Linked DNA regions of Macaca mulatta. The protein of the gene in region 1 interacts with the protein of each later gene in a biochemical or structural test. Links are inferred from orthologs where the notes say so. Each region holds a gene or a part of one and is shown on either strand. Other genes may lie near its edges.

Evidence for each region. The genes of interacting proteins can lie anywhere in the genome.
Region 2: the proteins of ARF1 (region 1) and PLD2 form a complex in vitro, tested with the Homo sapiens proteins (2 studies listed by BioGRID). The link is inferred for Macaca mulatta from reciprocal best matches to the Homo sapiens genes ARF1 and PLD2.

The regions. Positions count from the first base shown.
Region 1 is NC_133406.1:85,832,841-85,840,121, forward strand, and holds the start of ARF1 (ADP-ribosylation factor 1), read left to right. Parts: upstream 1-3,219; 5' UTR 3,220-3,260; exon of another isoform or gene 3,261-3,345; intron 3,346-3,421; exon of another isoform or gene 3,422-3,940; coding exon of another isoform or gene 3,941-4,002; intron 4,003-7,281. UniProt on the Homo sapiens protein: Small GTPase involved in protein trafficking between different compartments. Modulates vesicle budding and uncoating within the Golgi complex. In its GTP-bound form, triggers the recruitment of coatomer proteins to the Golgi membrane.
Region 2 is NC_133421.1:6,340,839-6,348,049, reverse strand, and holds the start of PLD2 (phospholipase D2), read right to left. Parts: upstream 4,023-7,211; 5' UTR 3,781-4,022; exon of another isoform or gene 3,709-3,780; intron 3,417-3,708; 5' UTR 3,416-3,416; coding exon 3,307-3,415; intron 3,206-3,306; coding exon 3,075-3,205; intron 2,915-3,074; coding exon 2,772-2,914; intron 2,090-2,771; coding exon 1,984-2,089; intron 1,893-1,983; coding exon 1,827-1,892; intron 1,696-1,826; coding exon 1,637-1,695; intron 1,498-1,636; coding exon 1,405-1,497; intron 1,312-1,404; coding exon 1,159-1,311; intron 379-1,158; coding exon 229-378; intron 1-228.

The DNA.
Region 1 (7,281 bases):
AGTACTGATTCTGGTGGAGGCAGTGCCACCCCGCAGAATGCCCTGGCATCTTGCAGTATGATTCTCCAGCTTTAGCCCATCTATAGTCTCCCAACAGAGAGAGCCGGCAGAGCAACCATGTGGGAGACAGAGTGGGGCAGGAAATCCAGAGAGGAGAACTCTGTCCTGGGATGCCTGGTGTAGTAGTGAGCTGCCCATCACTGGAGGAATCCAAGATAACATTGCAGTCTGCAGAGGCACCAAAGCGCTTGTTCCCCAAGAGGGAGGGCAGGGCTGGGGAAAGACTAAAGGTGTTGGCAATAAGCAGACTTGGGCATGGAGTAGTCAAGCTTCAGAGGGGTTTCATCCTAGCTGGGTGACATCAGGTACATGTGAGACCTCTCTGAACATCTGTGACCTGGCTCAAATGCCGCACACTTCATAGTCCTGCACTCAGAGGTTGACCAAAGTGCCTGCCAGGCCTGAGGTGGGCTGGGGTCCCCTTCACCTAGCCACAATGGCTGCCTACTAGGTCTCCAACATGGGTATTCCCGCTTCTTTGCTCCAGACAGCTCATCTGTCCCTCTAGCCGCATTCCCTAGGAGGCCAGCCCGTTCCGTTGTTTGGCATCCGTGTCTCTGACCTGGTTCTCAGGTGCAGCCACCCCCAGAAGAGAGAAGCCCAGCCCCACCTGAGCTGGCATCTTTGAGACTGACAGCGGAGGCAGCCACAAAGGCTGGAGGGTCCCTGTCCAGCCTGGCCCCCAATGCCCTCCCTCTAGCCAGCTCATCCCACCCCTCTTGGCTAAACCTCATCTGATCCCAGGGACCTCAGAGTAGAGAGAAAGGGATCCCTACTCCCTAGGCAGTGTTGGGAGAGCACCAGGGCCTCAATTTCCCCAGGAAATCACTGCCTGACACTTCTTAGCTCCCTAGTGGGTCTCCTTCCAGGGGCAGAAATCTGGGTGTGACTACCTGGGCTCCCCTGCGCCTGTCTGGCTTGAAGACATCACTTTTGTCCTGGTGGTGGTGGGGAGGCCAAACCAGGAGCACAGAATCAGCGGAAAGGGACTTTTTAAAAAATTATTATTATTTGCAGACAGGGTCTCACTCTGCCACCCAGGCTGGAGTGCAGTGGCAGAGTCCTAGGTCACTGTAACCTTGAACTTCTGGGCCCAAGCGATCCTCCCACCTCAGCCTCCCAAGTAGCTGGAACTACAGGTGTGTGTCACCATACCTGGCTATCTTTGTAAAATTTTTGTAGAGATGGGGTCTCATCATGTTGCCCAGGCTGGGGAAGGTACATTTCTTAACCCTAGGGCTGTGTATACAGAAATCCATTTTATTACTTTTTAAACTGTGCATGTATCTGACATACACTCTTTCCTGTCTGCATTTTTTCACATTTAAAATAAAATATTTTAAAGGGGCCAGGCACGGGGGCTCACACCTGTAATCCCAGCACTTTGGGAGGCCAAGGCGGGTGGATCACCTGAGATCAGGAGTTCGAGACCAGCCATGGCCAACATGGTGAAACCCTGTCTCCACTAAAAATACAAAAATTAGTTGGGCGTAGGGGCAGGCGCCTGCAATCCCAGCTACTTGGGAGGCTGAGGCAGCAGAATTGCTTGAACCCAGGAGGCGGAGATTGCAGTGAGCCAAGATTGTGTCACTGCACTCCAGTATGGGCGACAGAGCAAGATTCCATCTCAAAAAAAGAAAAAAAAAAATAGAGTATTTTAAAGGAAGGGGAAGCAGGCTCTGGTTCCCACACAATCCCCACTCAGTGACACTGGAGCCACCCCTGGCCATGCTCTGCCATCAGAGAACCAAAGCCAGGTCCCTTCAGCCCTAAAGTGGCCATAACCACATGTATCCCCCATGAAATGTCCGAGCATGGTCCAGTTCTGGCTGAGCGGGAGAGGCAGCACAATCAGAAGGCTCCACAGGCATCCACACCCCTCCCTGGGGCTTTCCAAGAGTATCTGAGATGCCTGTAGGGTGGGAGGGAGACATCCTTCCCCTAAACAGACAACCTGCCGCAGCTTCACAGAGGTGAGATTTCAGAGGGGAGCCCCAGGCAGAAAAAGGGACTGAATTTGGGGGCAGGAGGGTCACCACTTCTGGGGTCCTTCGAAGCCCCCGCAGGTGCAGCCCTGGGGGAGAACTCCGACTATCGCAGCCTGCAGTGGCAGTGAGGATGCCCTGCCCAAGGGGCAAGCAAGGTAGGTGATGGCGGCAGCAAAGGGGCGCAGGAGGCCTGGGCCAGGCCCAGTGACCCCACCCCTCAGGCCCTGCCCCCGGGCCTCCCCCTGGACAAATCAGGTTGATTCCCGACCTCCAGAATACCCAGAGAACTGTGCTGCACGGACGCTCTCCCACAAGCCCAATCCCTCACAGCTGCACAAGGGAAGAGGCAAGAAGACCTGAGGGTGGTGGGCAGAGCCAGGCCTCTGTTCCCTTCTGACCAATCCAGGAGGGCTTCCTGGGAGCGGGGTCTCCTCCGCCTCAACTGGATCTCAGCTGAAAGGCCAGCTCATTAGAGACCGCTGTGACCTCCCTTCTGGGCACCACCCCCACAGCCCCGGCCTCCCCCCGGGGTCCCCAGGCCACCTCCTCCTTTGCTTCATCTGTAGCCAACTCCCCGGCATGAGCCCAGGCATGAGCCCGCGCGAGTCACTGCGGCCGCCGGGGCGCCGAGGCCAGTGCGGGGACATAGCAGGCCTCCCTCCTTCGGACCTTCCGCCGAGGCCCCGCGAGTGCCACAGGTTTCCACAGGGCCGGGGCACACGGACCCGCGCAGCCTGGGAGCCAGGGACCCCAATCCCAGCGAAGGGGCGCCTCGCACCCCAGTCCTCACGCGGTCCCCGAGGGCTCGCGGTGACTGCCGGGTCGGGGAGGAGGAGGGTGGCAACCCGGCCCCGCCGCTCCAGTTGCTGCAGCAGCCCCCCGGGCCTCAGTCTCCGAATCTGCCAAACGGGCGTGTGGCAGCCACAAGGTGTCTTTTCGGAAGACTCACAGGCGCAGGCGCAGACGGGTGCGCACCCCTAAGGCGCGCGCGAGCTAGGACCTCGGCCCGGGGCTGGGTGTCCCCGGCCCCGCCCCCTGCAGCCCTTCTGGAGCCAGCGCGCCTGCGTCGCGGGCGCACGGGGGGCGGAGCTCCCGGCGTCTCCGCCTCTTACCCGACGTTCCCCGCGCCCGCAGGCGCTGACGTGGCCGCCGTCAGAGCCGCCATCTTGTGGGAGCGAAACCAACGCCTGGCTCGAAGCAGCAGCTTCTGAGGTGAGGGCGAGGGGCGCGGGTCGGTGTGGGCCGCACACAAGTTGGAGCCGGCGGGGTCTGGGGACTGGCCTCGGGGCGACTTGAGGTTCGCGAAGGGCACCTCGATCCCGGCGGCGGCGGCGGCGACAGGGCCGGGCCGGGGGCGGACGAGGACGGGCCGGGCTGAGGCTGGGGAGTCGGGGCTGGGAGGGCGGGCGGGTCGGTGAGCTCCTCGCGCCCCTCACAGGTTCCCGGAGTCGCCCGCGGCCCCTTGTCCTCCTCTGCCAGTCCCTGCCCCCGCCCGTCGCCCGGAAGTCAGCCGGGACGCCAGGCTCTTCTCCAGGAAACCTGGGCTTCCTGCTTCCCTCACCTCTGCCCCTCACGTTTCCCGAGGCCGCCCGCGCGTGGAGGGTTGGGGTTAGCGGTCTCGGGGGCCGGTGGGGGTTGTGGGGCCTCCTCCACCCGAGTACAGGCTAGCGAGCGGCATCCGGGCGGACCGCTGCCTCGGGGACCGGGAAACTGAGGCTCAGGCGGCCCCAAGACACCGTCAAGGTCACGTAGGTGGTGGGGGCTTGCACCTTCGCCTCCCGACTCCATCCAGTTCGTGTTTCTTCTGAGGAAGGCACTGGGTCAGGGGCGGTGAGAGCGAGCGGGCGGGCAGTGGACAGGGACCCTGCGCCTTTCCCTGTCTGCTGAACGGAATGCGTGGACCTCCGGGGAAGCCCAGAGTGCCTCCCTTCACAACAGTGAGACGCGATTTGGGGTCAGTATGAAGTCTCCGGTGGCTTCCAGAGGGCCGGTCGATGTTCGCTTTAACTCCAGGGTGGTTTCCTTGACGTTGTCGGCAGTAGATAAGAAGGCCTCTTTTGAGCTGGTGAATCTTTAACTTGCCTGCGGAACGACCTGCTCGTAGACTCTAGGCCGCAGAGGCCGGCCCCAGCGCTCTCTCGGGGCACAGCCTGGGTGGTTACGGCTTGTGAGATTGGGTCTGTACAGCCGTGCGCACCTAGAGTGTTAGATAACCATTCCGACGGCACTTCCTGGCGGACTCCCTTTCCGTCCAGGCAGCCAGTTGCTGCTTTGCAGGAATTGAGCAGAAATGCGCTCGGAATCGCGGGCAGAAAAAGAAGGGAGGTCGGAGTCTTTGGATGGTCCCCGAAGTCGCCGCCTAGTTTAGAGCTGTAGAGTTGGTGCCACTGCCCCTATTGGAGTGGGCAGTTGTATTTCTTGTTTCAGAACTAGTGGTCAGCAGTTTTCTCTGCCGCCGGTTGTTGCAAGGCTGGTGGTTCTGGCGTTTTCCGCAGTGTGTTGGGAGGAGTGTGAGATGCCGAGGTGCGGTTGTGTGCGGCCCCTGTGGCCCTCTGCTTTTGCGTTAGCCATTGTCTAACACGTGTGACTGCATGGATGATGTCCTCATTTAATTTGAATTTTCACCAGCACTACCAAGGTAGCCAGAACCATAAGGTCCTGAAATGCCGTACTATTAGCTGGGTCCAAAATTGAGAAGAATTGAGTAGTATAAATGTTAGTATACACATCTGATTGGCCACATTGTTAGAGGTGTGTTGTCCACGTTTTCACATGTTGGTAGACCGGAGAATATCTGTCACTTGTCTTTAGGTGTATCTTGTTGAAAATAAATCCAAATCATTGCAGCAGTAGGAATATGCTGTTGCCTGTCAGGCAGTTTTTCAGATTTGCTAGTTGAAAAAGATTTGAAACAGTTGGTTTGGACAACAGCTGAGTCACAGAATGACTGTGAGTGAAAAGCAAAAACTGGTTCTGTGCCCCTCACAGTTCTGATTTTGTACATCATGTAGTCTAGCTATGCGCTGTACCTCTTGCACAATATGGAGAGGACATTCAGACATCTTCACCTGCTCATCTGCCCCTACAGACTGGACAGGCTTGAAACTATAGCTTCGAAGATGCATTTGGCCTTTCATTTTTCACTTCAGTAAAATTTAATATGGACTGTCAGCTGCTGCAGTGATCATAGAAGTAGACCTAACTAAGAGAAAAAAACCTGTTGTGCAAGTTCACACGCAAAGTATATGACTGTGGTTTCAGAGAGTTGAAGCAGTTTTTTCTAGATTCTTCAAATTAAATGTCTCATTGGTGTATTTAAACCAGCTCTTACTCACAGGCCATGCTCACCAAGCTTTTGTACACACTTCTTCCTGAGCTGTGACCATTCTCTTGAGCAAGAGGCTGCAGCCAGCCTGGGCTGGCAGGCCCATACTGTCTCTCATAGGCATTCTGTCCTCTCCCCCTGACCTTTCACCTCGGTAAACTCAAGAGGGTGAAAGGAAGTAGAGTGCACTGTCAGAGGTAATTGGGAGAGAAACAGGAAAAGGCCTTGCAGTGGGGATCTTAAATTATGAGAACTTGTGTTTTCTGTGTTGTGCCTGCTCCTCATTGGTGTGGTTGGTTGGTAGGGGTATCCTGCCTGTAGCATCTGAAGTGGTCTTTTGGAAAAGGTTTAGCCCCTTCATGTTGGGATTCCAGGATTTGCCTTCATCCTCAGGTTCGTATTTTCCTGTGGTTGTTATAAACTCTTTAAGGCATAGTTGCACTTATCACCTTACAGCTGTGCAGGTGCCCAGCACCGTCTTGGAAGGTAGTTTCACATTCTCAGGTGGGTCAGATGACCTTGTTAGCAACTTGACAGACATGTCCTGGATGTTTTTTGTTCCCAAGAGGCTCTCAGGTCCTCCCCCAGGGTCCTGTCACTCAACCATCTACAGGGATGAGAAGACAGTAAGGCTGGCTGATTAGCCATAATGTCCTTGACTAATCCTGGTTTCCTGGTTCTCACACAGTGGTAACAAGGGCTTGCAGCCGGTTGTCAGCCAACAGACTGGGAAAGGTGGTGCTTCTTACAGGCCCTGATAACAGGAAAAGCCTAAATGACATCAAGAGAAGAGACAGGGAAAGCATAAAAGGCAGATTTTCACAGGCACAGCAATTGAGAATGATTCTGTTTAGAAGGCAGACGTTCTCCCACACCCCGGAGGCCCAGGGCTCACTGTTAGTGTACAGCATGAAGTGAACGGGAGACTTGATTCAGTCCATGAACATTTCAGGAAGTTAGAAGTCTGTAGTTGTGGATTGCAAAATACATATCTGGCCTGCCTCCCATTTCCTGCCATACAACTACTAAAATACTTGGAATCTCCAAAGTGATGATGTCTTTTTGTACCCTAATGAGTTGACCAGTGACGGGCAGCCCCTACGAAACTTCAGGGTAGGGCTAGTCACGGGGCCAAGGTAGGATTAGAGGGTTTCAGCCCCACCCTCCAATTTCCCCAGAGTGGAGAGGGACTGAAGATTGAGCTGGTCACCAGTAGCCAATAATTTAATCAATCACACTAATATCATGAAGCCACACTTTTGCCTTCAGTAGTTAACAGCATCTACAGCCCCGTGTTTCCACATTTGTACAAAGGAATGTTCAGACTGAACCACACTTAAGTACAATTCTGAAATAGCATGAAATTCCTTGTTGATGGGAAATACCCAAAAGGCCTGCCTGGGCTTTCAGAGAGCTTCCAGAAAGCTGAATTCATGGAGGTTCCTGGAGGGTGGCACGCCCAGGAGGGCAAGGTAGCTCCGTGTCTCTTCCCTCATACCCCACCCTATGCATCTCTCCATCTGTATCCTTTGTAATATCCTTTATGAAAAACCAGTAAACTTTAGTGTTTTTCTGAGTTCTGTGAGCCACTCTAGCAAATTAATTGAACCCAAGGGGAAGGAGTTATGGGAACCCTGATTTATAGATGGTTGTCCAGAAGCACAGGTAAAATAACCTGGAGCTTGTGATTGCCTCCAGGTGGACAGTGTCAGGATTGAACTGAATTAAAGGACACCTATCCGGTGTCTGCTGCAGAACGCAGAACTGGTTGCTTACTTGGCATGTGTGGAGAAACCCCTGCTCATGTGGTGTGAGAAGCGACCTGTGTTATAAGAGTGTGTGAGAAACTGAGTTTGGGTTTTCCTGTGTCCTCAAAATAGTGTGTTTTGAAAATCTTCTAGGCAGAAT
Region 2 (7,211 bases), on another chromosome or scaffold:
GAGGTTACAGACGTCAAGGGTCAGAAGAGATGACCAAGTCTGAGGGTCAGAAAGGTCAGAGCGAAATCAGAGAGATCAATGTGGTTAAAGATATCAAAGATCAAGAAGATTAAGGAAGTCACAGGGTGGATCGCTGAGGTCAGAAGGGTTCAGAGGAGATAAAAGAGAGGGTGAAGGACTCAGAGACAGGGGGTCAAGAAGGCCACAGAAGGGATGTCAGTGTCTCACCACCGGGCCAAGGTCCCAGGCCGGGATGGGGCATAGCTGTCATGCTGGTGCAGCTGTAGGAAGTCTCTGCCTGGGCCCCGTGCCAGCTCAGTGATCTCTTGGGCCCACCACCGTGCCTGCCGGTAGCTGCTGCACTTGAGAATCAAGGACCTGGATGGGAACGATGAGATGCACCATAAATCCTCGCCCTCCATACATATGATCTTGCCCAGAGACCTCCCCTTTCTTTCTCACTTCCTCCCTTGGTCCCTAATCACAACTCCACAGAGACAGGGCGTGTATGTATCTGCCTTATTTGTTTATTTATTTTTGAGACAGAGTTTAGCTCTTGTCCCCCAGGTTGGAATGCAGTGGTGCGATCTCTGCTTACTGCAACCTCTGCACCCTGGCTTCAAGCGATTCTCCTGCCTCAGGCTCCCAAATAGCTGGGATTACAGGCCAGCACCACCACGCCTGGCTAATTTTTGCATTTTTAGTAGAGACAGAGTTTTACCATGTTGGTCAGGCTGATCTCGAACTCCTGACCTCAGGTGATCCGCCCGCCTCGGCCTCCCGAAGTGCTGGGATTACAGGCATGAGAAACCATGCCTGGCCGTATCCACCTTACTCACAGTTGGAGCCTAGTATTGTATCAGCAACCAGTATTGTACCAGGCACTCAGGTTTGTTGAATGAACAAATGAACAAATGGAATTTCCTTTATGTCAGCAGTTCCTTTCCTGGGCTTCTACTAATCCCCTTTCTCTGGGCCCAGTCTCTAAGAGCAGTCCCAAGCATCTGGCTAGACCAGTTCCCTGGTTCAAAACTATGTCCGGATCCCGGGAGGTGGAACAGCCTTCCTCTCTACTGTGGTCTCTCTTACTCAACCCCCAGCAGGGCTGCAGGCTGGCTCACCACTCAGCCGGTGTCTCTCACCCCAGGGAGGCCTCACCTGTGGGAGGTGTCGATCCGCACTCCGTACCGTGCCTCCGTGCTCCTTTTCCCCACCTGCACCTCAAAGCCGGGGTCAAAGAGCTGAACAAATGAGATGGCACCCGTCTCGAGGCACATGTACAGCAGGAAGGAGTCCTTCACCACCAGCCACCTAGAGCAGAAGGGCTCCCTGTGTTCCTCTCTGCCCTCGAAATTTTATTCCTCACCCCCACCCACTGCCCAGCTGCTCGGCCATAGCCCTTACCTCTTGGACCAGCGATAACAAACTTGGTCTCGGCCACAGCAGGTGAGGCCAGGAACGCGGTGGCCACCTGAGCGCTTCCGGATCGTCCCCTCCCTGTGGGGCAATCAGGAAGAGAGGCTGGATGAGGACTCCAGACCCCCAGCCCACCCTGCACTGCTTGCCCCATTCTCAGGCAGGGAGAAATTAAGAGGGATGTCTACAGATGCCTGGGTGAAGGGGGCCAGACACTCACAGCCCTTTGCAGCCCAGGTCTGGGATAAAGGACAGCTGACTGACTTCCAGGAATTCTGTCTGCAGAGGAAAACAAAAGGCCAGAGGAGATACCTGGCTTTCAGCTCCTCAGACCCTGGGGCCCCTGGCCCTCCTCCCCCTGAGGGTCTGATGATCCTGCTCCACATCTAAAATCAGCTCCTGGACCTTACCAAGGCATGGTAGTTGCGATAGAAAGACATGGTCAAGAGGCGGTTGAGGTAATTCTCCAGGTATTTCTAAAGTGGAGATGAGAGAGAAAGAGACAGATGGGACCAGAGTCATTTGCACATCCAATGCCTTCCCAGAGGACCTGGCATCTGGTCCCACCTGTTTGCTGGCTGCATGTCTGGTAGAGCCCTCAGGACCTGCCCGGGGTAGAGAGGGCATCTCTCTGTTGGCTGCATCTTGGGCTGGAGAATAGGCAACGGCAAAACTGTGGAAAGGATGGATGAGGTTCAGGTAAGAGCTGGGAGGCTGGGTGCTCTGGTTCCTGAAAACACTGGAGATGGGGCTTGGAGGAAAAGAAGAGGCCTGGAGGTGGCCAGGTGTGGTGGCTCATGCCTGGAATCCCGGCACTTGGGGAGGCTGCAGCAGGTGGATCACTTGAGCTCAGGAATTTAAGACCAGCCTGGGCAACACAACAGCACCCCATCTCTACAAAATATACAAAAATTAGTTGGGTGTGGTGGCTGTGGTCCCAGCTACTCGGGAGGCTGAAGTAGGAGGGTTGCTTGAGCCCAGGAGGTTGACATGAGCCAAGATCATACCAGTGCACTCTAGCCTGGGTGACAGAGGGAGACCTTGTCCAAAACAAAAACAAAAACCAAGCAAAAGTCCTAGAGTCTGGCAAAAGGAAGGCCCCCTACCCTGGGAATGGAGACTAGAAAAGGGTGAGGCTGCCAAGAGTATTTTGGGCATCCCGCCCAGCTGAGATGCTGGCACAGAACCATGGACAGGGAAAGCTGAGCAGGGAAAGTTTCCTGGTAACTGGGGTCAGGGGAGGGGCCCAGTGGCCAGAGTTGCAGGGAGGAAAGATTGTGGCCTGGGGGTGAGACAGGCAGAAAGGAGGGTGGGGGGCACCTGCCCTCTACAGGACTCAGTCTGATTCCCCTTACCGAGCCAGAGGGAGCAGACTCATCAAGACTTTGTGTCTCAGGAGGTCCCGATGCAGCTCCTGAAAATGACGGAACTTCTTCTTGGTTGTCCAGGTAAAGTCGCCGTGAGTCAAGCGGACAGAATACAGAGTGCAGGTTCCTACCTAGGGGTGTGAGGAACTGAATGGATGACCCCCGTGTTGAGTCCCCGCCTCCCCACTCTGGCCAGCTCTCCCTTTCCCTCTTCCCTGGGGCCAGCCCAGCCACCTTGGATCCATTCCAGGCCGCCCTCCCTTTCCCCCTCCCTGGGGCCAGTCTGGCCACCTTGGATCCGCTGGTGTATCTTTCGGTGCCCACCACCTGGGCTGTGACAGGGACCCCAGGTGCGAACACCAAGGGGTGCACTTTCAGAGGCTGAAGCTCATAGGTGGCCAGAAACGGGTGCATCCGGTCGGCTGGGAAGAAAGAAAGTCGAGGAGTGTAGACCCCCACAGGCCCCAGCCCCCTGGCTCCCCACGCCTCTCCTCCCCGAGGGCCATCCATATTCCCTGTGTACCTGGGTCCTCTCCCTCCCTCAGAGTGTCCACCTCATCGGACTCCATCTGGAGCTGGCTGGAGTCCAGTTCGTCCCCAGTGGGGAAGAGGCTCTCAGGGGTCGCCATCATCCTAGGAATATAGGGAATCCTCAGGGAGGCGAGTTGCCCTGCAGCACCCGCCCCCCCATCCTAACTCCTGCAGGTCCTCCATCTCTTCCAGGTCCTCCTCTTCCCCCACAGACTCCTGACCGCCCGCTGATGACGACCGACCAGTTTGCAACGCCCCACCGACCCCTTCGAGCCCCCATCCGCTATCTTAGTCCTTCATCCACAATCCCAGTCCCAGTCCCGCTCCCCGACCCCCGCCCCGTCCCGTAACCAGAGACCCGGGGAACACCCAGCCAGGCCCGGAAGGCTCCGACCTGGGGCGCCACAGCAGCTGCGCGGGGAAGCGGCCCCGGGTGGTCGGGAGAGCGCGGGGCTACGGGGCTTACGCCAGGCCAGGCGGGCCGGGGGCAGGGGTCCAGGCAGGAATGAGGAAGTTACGCGATCCCCGCCGAGGGGAGAAACCCCGAAATCTGAGCGTGCGACTGAGTCTGGAGGCTCCGCAGCCCGAGCCCTTTCCGTCCCCGCCCGATTCCCGGGACCGGGGACCCCAGCGCGCCCCTTCCCGGCCGCCTCACCCTGGCAGACGGAGCCAGCGCCCGCGCGGGTTCCGGAGCCAAGCGAGCAGAGCGGAGCCGGAGCCGCAGCCGGAGCCCACGCCCCAGCAGGCCGGGGCGGGGCTGGGGCTCAGGGCCTGCCCTCGGGGGCGGGACGGCCCCCGGCCTCACCTCCGCGGGATTCTCGTCTGTCCTGTCCCGCCCCCGCCGCCCTCGGCCCGCCCCGCCGCCCCGCCGCCCCGCCGCCCCGCCGCCCCGCCGCCCCGCCGCCCCGCCGCCCCGCGCACCACCGGGAGCCCGGGGGCTGCACTGTGCTCTGCAGGGCCGCGGGGCCGCGCAGCTCTCTCGGTGAGACCGGCAAGTGCTGCAAAGCGTCGGGGCTTTCCGCGCCGTCGGTCCCAGCGTGCCCGCCCGCCGCCCGCCGCCCGCCGCCCGCCGCCCGCCGCCCGCCGCCCGCCGCCCGCCGGGGCACCCCGCGCTGCGCGCATCCTTCCGCTCGGCTCCCGCCCCGGGCCCCTCCAGCCGCGGGCGCTGCCTCGGCCCCCGGGGACACGCGCCTCCGCTGCGGGAGCTGCCGGTGGGTGCCCCTCTCCCAGACTCGCTGCGAGCCACGTTCGACCTAGCCCAGATAGCGTTTGTACCTGGAAGGAATGAGGGCGTAAAAGGCCCGAGGGGTGGTGGCTACAAACCCATTAGTGTAAGAAAGCGGGCATTCTTTCATTCATTCACCAAACATGTATTGCGCGCTTACTCCTTGCCAGACACTGAGCGTATGGTAGTAAATAAGATGGTTACGGAGCCTGCTCAGCTGGAATTGACAGTCTAGGGGGGAAATAAAATTTTTTCGGGTATTAAAATACAAGAGATTTCAATCTTTTTTAAAAAGCAGATTTATTTTTCTCTTCTTTTGATAGACATGTGTGTTTCCAGTTTTGCCCGTTGTTTTAGCTCCTGTAAACATCCCTGTCTTTGTGTGGATAGTTTTCCTTTATCTTGGGTAACTAGCGAGTGGAGTTGTTGGATCATGTAAGTGTATGTTTAACTTATAAGAAACTATCACACGATTTTTTTTGAAATGGTTGTTACAGTCTAGATTTCCAAAATCAGTGTATGGTGGTTCCAGTTATTCTATGGCATAGCCAACATTTGATATTCTAAATCTTTAGCGTTGGCCATTGAATGGATGTCATAGGCACACCATTGCAATTTGATTTGCATTTATCTGGAGATCAATGATATTGACCATGTTTCATGTGCTGATTGGCCATTTGGCCATTTGTATGCATTCTTTTTTTTTTTTTTTTGAGACGGAGTCTTGCTGTGTCTCCCAGGCTGGAGTGCAATGGCCAGATCTCGGCTCACTGCAAGCTCCGCCTCCCGGGTTCACGCCATTCTCCTGCCTCAGCCTCCCAAGTAGCTGGGACTACAGGCACCCGCCACCTCGCCCGGCTAGTTTTTTTTTTTTTTTTTTTGTATTTTTTTATTAGAGACGGGGTTTCACCGTGTTAGCCAGGATGGTCTCGATCTCCTGACCTCGTGATCCGCCCGTCTCGGCCTCCCAAAGTGCTGGGATTACAGGCTTGAGCCACCGCGCCCGGCCTGCATTCTTTTATAAAGTGCCTATTCAGTCTTTTGCTAATATTTATTTATTTTTTTTTTTTTGAGACAGAGTCTCACTCTTGTTGCCCATGCTGTAGAGCAGTGGCACGATCTCGGCTCACTGCAACCTCCCCCTTCTGGGTTCAAGGGCTTTCCTGCTAATTTTTGTATTTTTAGTAGAGACAGGTTTCACCATGTTGGCCAGGCTGGTCTCAAACTCCAGACCTCAAGTGATCTGCCCTCCTTGGCCTCCCAAAGTGCTGTGATTACAGGCGGGAGCCACCATCCCCGGCCTTTTGCTAATTTTTTCTTTTCTTTTTTTTTTTTTTTTTTGAGAGGGAGTTTTGCTCTTGTTGCCCAGGCTGGAGTGCAATGGCGGGATCTCGGCTCACTGCAACCTGCGCCTCCCAGGTTCCAGCAATTCTCCTGCCTCAGCCTCTTGAGTAGCTGGGATTACAGCCACCGGCCACCACGCCTAGCTAAATTTTTGTATTTTTAGTAGAGATGGGGTTTCACAATGTTGGCCAGGCTGGTCTGGAACTCCTGACCTCAGATGATCCACCCTCCTTGGCCTCCCAAAGTGCTGGGATTACAGGCGTGAGCCACCACACCTGGTCATAAACTTCTAAATTTAAGGCAAAAACAATCTATAGTGATGGAAATCAGATCAGTAGTTGCCTGTGGCAGGGTGTAAGGAAAAGATTGCCTGTAAAGGGACACGTGAGGGAACATTCCAGGATGATGAGAATGCCCTATATTTTGATAGGAGTGGTGATTGCATGGGAGCATACACTTGTTAATACTCATGGAACTGTACGTTAAGATGTGTGCATTAAATTGTATGTACATTTTTGCTTCAATAAAGTTCATTGAAAGAAAAACAAGGCCGGGCGTGGTGGCTCACGCCTGTAATCCCGATACTTTGGGAGGCCGAGGTGGGTGGATCACGAGGTCAGGAGATCGAGACCATCTTGGCCAACGTGGTGAAACCCCATCTCTACTAAAATTACAAAAAATTAGCTGAGCATGGTGACGCGTGCTACTTGGGAGGCTGAGGCAGGAGAATTGTTTGAACCAGGGAGTCTGAGGTTGCAGTGAGCTGAGATAGTGCCACTATACTCCGGCCTGGTGACGGAGTGAGACTCCGTCTCAAAAAAAAAAAAAAAAAAGACTGTGTAACTCGGGCAGTATGTGTCATCAGAAACCTAACGTTTCTCACATTGTGGTACCTTCACGGAATGATGAAACAGCCCTTGTACAGCTTTACTTACGGGCACTTAGAGTCCTTGGCTAGGATGCTCTTGACTAGAGGGTCTCTGACTAGAAGACCAGAGCCTCGGCTCTGGCCACCCCAAACTGGCTGAGGGCATCGATGCTTGGGGACATGCTTCAGAAGCTCAGTGTACTGGTTAAAAGAGTAGATTCTGGCTGGGTGTGGTGGCTGATGCCTGTAATCCCAGCACTTTGGGAGGCTGAGGTGGGCGGATCACTTGAGGTCAGGAGTCCGAAACTAGTCTAGACAACATGGTGAAAGCCCATCTCTACTAAAAATACAAAATATGACTGGGGATGGTGGCGGGTGCCTGTAATCCCAGCTAATTGGGAGGCTGAGGCAGGAGAATCACTCGAGCCCTGGAGGCAGAGGTTGCAGTGAGACAAGACTG